Linked DNA regions of Yarrowia lipolytica. The protein of the gene in region 1 interacts with the protein of each later gene in a pairwise test. Links are inferred from orthologs where the notes say so. Each region holds a gene or a part of one and is shown in the gene's direction. Other genes may lie near its edges.

What was found. The genes of interacting proteins can lie anywhere in the genome.
Region 2: the proteins of YALI1_E30073g (region 1) and YALI1_D27867g interact in a two-hybrid assay, tested with the Schizosaccharomyces pombe proteins (2 studies listed by BioGRID). The link is inferred for Yarrowia lipolytica from reciprocal best matches to the Schizosaccharomyces pombe genes sty1 and ptc1.

Annotation. Positions count from the first base shown.
Region 1 is NC_090774.1:3,005,243-3,009,034, reverse strand, and holds YALI1_E30073g (uncharacterized protein), read left to right. Parts: upstream 1-1,756; coding exon 1,757-2,917; downstream 2,918-3,792. Other genes in the region: YALI1_E30109g (uncharacterized protein), read left to right, coding at 1-66; YALI1_E30074g (uncharacterized protein), read right to left, coding at 1,160-1,408, 1,462-1,575; YALI1_E30053g (uncharacterized protein), read left to right, coding at 3,730-3,792. UniProt on the Schizosaccharomyces pombe protein: Proline-directed serine/threonine-protein kinase involved in a signal transduction pathway that is activated by changes in the osmolarity of the extracellular environment. Controls osmotic regulation of transcription of target genes.
Region 2 is NC_090773.1:2,784,853-2,788,246, reverse strand, and holds YALI1_D27867g (uncharacterized protein), read left to right. Parts: upstream 1-1,549; coding exon 1,550-2,572; downstream 2,573-3,394. Other genes in the region: YALI1_D27844g (uncharacterized protein), read right to left, coding at 3,304-3,394. UniProt on the Schizosaccharomyces pombe protein: Serine and threonine phosphatase. Has a specialized role in the heat shock response. May be responsible for the dephosphorylation of hsp90.

The DNA of each region.
Region 1 (3,792 bases):
GACGGAGGGATAGAGAAGAGTCTGGGTGTGAAGGAGATGGATATGGGAATTGATGACACGACATAGCATACATAATTATTTATACATTGCATGATTAATGATACAGGGGGTGGTGGTTGTGTAGAGCGTACTACTTGTAGTTGTAGTACAGTACAGTAAGTTGTCCATGGTATTTCCTATAGCAAAAAGTTGTGCAAGGACAAAAAAATGACGACATCCGCAGGATTCGAACCTACGCGGGGAAACCCCAAGAGATTTCTAATCTCTCGCCTTAACCGCTCGGCCAGGATGCCTGAATTTTAAAAAATAAAAAGCTCCCGTTACACCACAGGCAACAATTACATCACGTGACCCCCAAGAAAAACCGAGATTAACGGCTTATTGAGAAGTTAAATGATAGGATTTAATAGCAATAAGACAGTAACCTTGTTGTTTAAACAGGGGTTATTTTAAGCAACAGAGTCAACCAAATTGTTCTCATTCGCAGGTATACAGAATCCTGTGATGTTGAATTTGCAGTGTGGGGTTGGTTCATAACAAAACGAGAAAACAATAGAAGCAATAAATGAGATGCAGAGAGTCTATGGAAATGGGTTGATGGCTGACTGGTGAGCGGGTGGAATGTGATTGGTTACTAATATGTGAACTGCTTCTTCTGTCGTACTCCCGTTCTCTCCGACGTCTGAATTCAGATACGACGCCTTCTGACAGCAAATTAGATCCAAACATTGGGTCTATGATGCTGCAAGTCAAGGTGCCAGGTACATGTGATACTCAGATAAGAATATCGCAGTGGGTTTGTTCATATCTGTTGTGGTTTGCGAGTTATACGACGATATCTTTTCAGATGCTATTGTACAATACGAGTGCTCGTACTTGTACGATAGCGACACCATTTCTACGAATGATTCTCGTGTAGTGCTTGTCATTCTCTTTGTGTGGTGGAAAAGAGAACTCTGCGGTCTGCTGTTTGTTGGACTCTAAAAAGCCACCTGTGATTGATGGATGGGTGTGTACGTGTGTGAGGGGAACTACTTGTATGCCGTCTATAGCCGTGTGTGATGGATACTGTGCAGATGGGGGTGTATTTTGCTTGTATTTGTACATAATCGAGTACTTGTACAAGTACTGAGATATTCATTTACAGTATGATCATTCTTCAAGTCAACTGTATCATGTTCCCAAGTTGACAACATAAGCACACCCAATCAACGACAATGCGGCGATAATGAGACATTAAGTGGGGGGATATGAGGAGCGTAAAACGGAGTGATAACGAGCGGGACGGGCTGTGTGTGTAACCATGCTGGCACTCCCGGCTCTCAATTTCAATTCCCCAAGTTCGCCACCTTATATAAGCTGTTCTCTGGTGACCTAGCGTGTGTGCTTGGTTGCTGTGCTGTTCGTTCTTTTTTTGACGTCATGACACGGCACGATTCAACAAAAGAGCCGTGAACGCACAAGGGACGTCGAAAGAAAACAGAAATATGTAACCGGGGCCGAATACCGTGTACCAAAGTCGATAAATGCCCTCACAAGGATCGTAGCCACATTCAGAAGCCCCCCCCCAACCATCTCCGCCAGCCGCGTACCCTGCAGGTTGAAAATTCAAAATTGGTTTGGTGCAGCAAGCACAAGTTAGGTTGGCGATACTCTCGAGACACCACACACACCACACAACTCGCAGCACTACATCACCAAGTGTAGCTCGGACCCCTGTGACTCTCTCTACCGTCTCCCAGGAACAGCGCGTAACATGGCGGACTTTATCCGGACCCAGATCTTCGGCACGTGTTTCGAAATCACGTCGCGATACGTGGATCTCAACCCCGTGGGGATGGGAGCCTTTGGTCTCGTGTGTTCGGCCAAGGACCAGCTCACGGACCAGAACGTGGCCATCAAGAAAATCATGAAGCCGTTCGGCACTCCCGTGCTGTCGAAACGGACGTACCGAGAGCTCAAGCTGCTCAAGCACCTGCGCCACGAAAACCTCATTTGCCTGAGCGACATTTTCATCTCGCCGCTGGAAGACATTTACTTTGTCACCGAGCTGCTGGGCACAGACCTGCACCGTCTGCTCATGACCCGGCCTCTGGAGAAGCAGTTCATTCAGTACTTTCTTTACCAGATTCTGCGAGGCCTGAAGTACGTGCACTCTGCCGGTGTGGTCCATCGAGACCTCAAGCCGTCCAACATCCTCGTCAACGAGAACTGCGACCTGAAAATCTGCGACTTTGGCCTTGCCCGAATCCAGGACACCCAGATGACCGGCTACGTGTCGACCCGGTACTACCGAGCGCCTGAAATCATGCTCACGTGGCAGAAGTACGATGTGGAGGTGGATATTTGGTCCACGGGCTGCATCTTCGCCGAGATGCTGGAGGGCAAGCCCCTGTTCCCCGGCAAGGACCACGTGCACCAGTTCTCCATCATCACCGAGCTGCTGGGCTCGCCCCCAGAAGATGTGATTCACACCATCTGCTCGGAAAACACTTTGAGGTTCGTCAGAACTCTGCCCCGGCGAGAACGAATCCCTCTGGCGTCCAAGTTCCGAAACGCCGACCCCGAGGCCATCGATCTCATGGAGAAAATGCTGGTTTTCGACCCCAAAAAGCGAATAACCGCGGCCGAGGCTCTGGCCCACCCTTACTTGGCACCATACCACGACCCCAGCGACGAGCCTGTAGCCGAGGAACGGTTCGACTGGTCGTTCAATGACGCAGACTTGCCGGTGGACACATGGAAGGTGATGATGTACTCGGAGATTCTCGACTTCCACAATGTGGACATTGACGTCAACGGCCAGCCTCCACAGGGCCAGTTTGAGCAGGTCCATGCCCAGGCACAAGCGGCCGTCGCACAGAACGAGGCTGCCAGGGCTAGGGAACAGGAGCAGCAGCAGCAGGAGCAGCAGTAAACACCCAAACAATGTGGGTCAAAGACGGACAAGGCAATCAGTAATAGGAGGACAGCATGGCTGACGTGATATAAGTGATGTAATTAAGTGTAGGATTATGGAGCAGCGATGTGATGACACGCCATCTTATCGTGAACTAGTTAGGAACATAGCTCGAATTGAACAGATGAGACACTGACGGAGAGAGGGACGATCGTATTGGGGAAGAGGAGTACCAGTTCGTACTGTACTTGTGGTACGTAAAGCCATTTGTGAGATCGCAACTATGGAGTTGCACTGCAGTGGAGCTACAGTATGTACTGCATCTTGACAATCCACTCACAAACAATGTACAATGTTCTGTATCTATATGACACCCACACTACAGGAGGCAGCTTTGGAGGTGGCATGAGAACGCAACATCCCCGAACAAGGCACCCCACCAAGTGGCTGTGAACTTGGAAAGTCGCCATGATATCATTTGATCAAATATCACTGACCAGCAGTTCAGTCCAAAGAACGCATTAATACTTACCATCACCATCTGTTGCAGTTGTTCATCAGAGATGGCAACAGCTGTATGATCCCAGCTTGTAACCCACAGTACGACGACTTCGCGAGAGTTCGACGAATCGAAGAATTGGTACTGTATGTTTTACCGTGGCAACTGCTTTATACCGCACACTGGCTAACTACTGTACTTATACTTGCAGTCCCACATTACACAAATGCAGTAAGTCCCTCTATATGTCAATTATCCGTCTTCACCACACCTCACCTCCACCTTATATCTGTGATCTAAAAGCTCATCTTGTGTCTGTAACGCCCTCATTATGAGCACAATTCAAAAATACTCCGTCGTGACCCCGAGATCTCTGGGACTCGATGGTGTGAAC
Region 2 (3,394 bases), on another chromosome or scaffold:
TGTCAACTTGTTTATTCTCTTGCGCAGCTGTTTGAGCCAGTAGATGATGATTTTAAATCTGGTGAGAGATAAGGTTGGTCTCGAAACCTTATTTGAACCGATATTTGGAGAGATTTGAGCGGGTTATAATGAGAATATTTGTGTGACAATTGATAGCTATTGTTGTAATGTTGAAGTAATACCCAAGTCTAGTTTGGTCTGTGTCTTTTCCAGACTTCTCCAATGAAGTTTTCTGCAGTCACCACCACCTAAATTTAGTTACATTTTACTTGGGTTTGTAACCAGTACAGTTGAGGGTTGTGAGACTGAGATGAAGCGTCATAGTGCTAAACGGATATATAACACCAATATGAATCCAACGATGGGCCATATAACAGACTAAACGGTATTCTATCTGTTGTATACTCTGTTTTATACTACTCTTGTGGATTATGGAACCCTTACCGTGATTCCACTTTCAACTATGGTAAAGTGATGAACATGGTAGTTATCAAACATGGTATGAACATGGTACAGTACATACTGTAGTTATAAAACATGTAGTGATAAACAGGGTAAAGTGATGAAACAATGTCAAAATTAATATTACTCTGTTGTCCTAGCTCTGATGAACTGAACTATCAACTTCTCATCTTCCTAGCATCTCTGTGAGACGAATTGGATTCCACACGTTTGTAGATAGCAGCGACGTGTGCAGATATCAGCTGCTAAATATAAGAACCAGACACAAGCTCAGTCCAGAGATTTCTTCTAGAATCCTACGCAAGATAATGTATCATTCAATCCCACTTACAAATAATCATCTGATTGGTTCCCCACCCCTCCGTCTCAACTTCCCTTACAGTCAATTGTTGTGTTTCAGATCAACCCCTGTTTCACAGTTGGCTTTAGTTAACTCCGGAAGGCTCCACATAAACTGAAGCCAGACTACAAATCGCACTAGTGCTACAATCACGATTCAAAGAAGCCCAACTTGTTCACCACGGCAAATAAACCCTAACAATTGTTTCCCTGTTCTTTTATAGCCTCCAAATCCACTTGCACTATACACCTTCCTTTACCACCTCCCTCACTAGACTCTACTTAATCTTCAAGTGAAATTTCTTAACTCCGTTGTTGAACCCAAAAACCACCACTTAGTAAGCCACATCTGCCGCCTCACTCAAGGGAAATACACACAAAATGGGGATGCTCACTTTTGTCACCGTCGACCCGGTCTCACTCACCTACAAGCACTCGAGAAGAACAATTCCCATTCGGTCGCCAATGTCCGAAAAACCCTAACCCTACCACAAATAAGCCTTTGCCACTTCCTTGCACTGTGGGGTGAGTGGTGTGTCTCCACATACACGAGATAGAGAGACGTGGACGGAACGTCGAAAAAGCAGTGGTATCTACGACAACAGCAACCAGGCGATCACGTGACCCACGACCGAACGAAAGCACGTGACAGATCAATTTCAGAAGCCGCGTGAAACTCCACGCAAACCAGACGGGAACAGCAGACACACACACACACACACACACACAATAACGCACGATACTAACGATGCTCAAGCTATTTCGACGAAACAGTAAAGATGAAGCCAAAGGCCATCCGATGCTGGCCAACAACAACGGGCTGCCTGTGACCGACTCGCCACTGTCATCGTTTGCTGTGGGCGTTACGGAGGACAAAAACTCGCGGTGTAGACGGACCATGGAGGATTATCATGTGGCTGCACACAACATTTGCGGCACGCCCGATTCGGGGCTGTTTGCAGTATTTGACGGACATGCGGGCAAACAAGCGGCTGAGTACTGCGCAACGGCAGTTGTCAGTGAGGTGGAAAGTCTGATTATGGAGTCTGAGGGATTCAAAAGCGAAGACTCTGCAACCGAAGACCCTGAAGTCGTGCAGGAGGAGGGGCTGGAGCACCAGGACAATGACAAGAGCTCGAAGACTGTGCCAGAGCTGCTTAATCTTGCCTTCATGGCCATTGACCGGTCAATTGAGCAGAAGAACCTGAATTCCGGATGCACAGCAGCAGTGGCTCTGTTGAGATGGGAGGATTCTCGAGGAAAGCCCGTGACGGTGTCTTCTGATCACTCACCCAAGGACTACACTCCCGTGTTTCCCCGTGCTCCATTGTCCGAGTGCAAGCGCAAGCTGTACACTGCCAACGTGGGAGACACTCGGTTGATTTTGTGTCGAGCAGGCAAGGCCCTTAGGCTGAGCTACGATCACAAGGGCACCGATCTCCATGAGTCTAAACGAGTCACCAACAACGGCGGAATGATGATCAGCAATCGGGTCAACGGAATGCTTGCTGTTACCCGTGCTCTGGGAGACACGTATATGAAGCAGTTTATTATTGGTAACCCATACACGACCGAGACGGAAATCATTGCTGATGACGAGTTTCTGATTGTGGCTTGTGACGGACTGTGGGACGTTTGTGATGATCAGAAGGCTTGTGATCTGGTGAGTGGACTAGAAGATCCTGTTGAGGGAAGCCGAATACTGGTGGAGTTTGCTCTGGAGAACTTTAGCACAGATAATTTGACTGTGATGGTGGTGAAATTGCGATAAGTGACAAAGGCAGGGTGACGAAATAGCTGTGTTTGAAGCGCATGTCGGACAGCCTCCTCCGAGCTGTGTTCTTTTGAGGCTATCCTAGCAGTTTTTCTGAAAGCTGCCTGTATTTGTCTAACTGTGACCAACCATCAGGTCAGCTTCATCTGACTTCCTTGTCTGAGGTACAGCTTCAATCATACAACACAAAAGCTTCTGTTTCCATTCTTCAAGTCTTGCCCACTTGTTGATGGTATTCTTCGCACCTTTCATGCTCCTCGTTGGACCGAAAATGCTCCCCTTCATCACCGGAACCTGTATAGCCAATACACTAAGTTATTTGACTGTCATTGGAGTAGATCCTCCATTACTGAAGCAACAAGTACAAGTAATGATCTCTGGCAATTGTAGTCAGAAGCGGGATTATAAGTACAGTTGTATTGTGACTAAATTTCTCCAACAAGTCATCTCCCTGATCGTCTACCATGAACGGATGGATGGATGCTCAAGGTGTAAGACATGTCTCGATGAATGCCGTGGCAGGTGGCTGTCAGTGTATGGAATAGTCGGGTCTTTCCGTATCGACAGTGGCTTCGTTCTCAGTCTACAGTTATGTACCAAGTTACAAGCACTGTACTGTACATACTCGAACAAGTACAGTGCCTGTACGTTTGCCTTCTATAATTCACAATGTATATAAATAAATAAAACCGTCAATAGACGACATCGGATCACCGTCAGAACCTGACTTATTGATCATACGAGACGAAATCAAAGCCGTCCCCAAACAGCCCCTCCATATCGTCGTCTGCGATTCCCGTAGTGTTGCCTGCGTTGTTT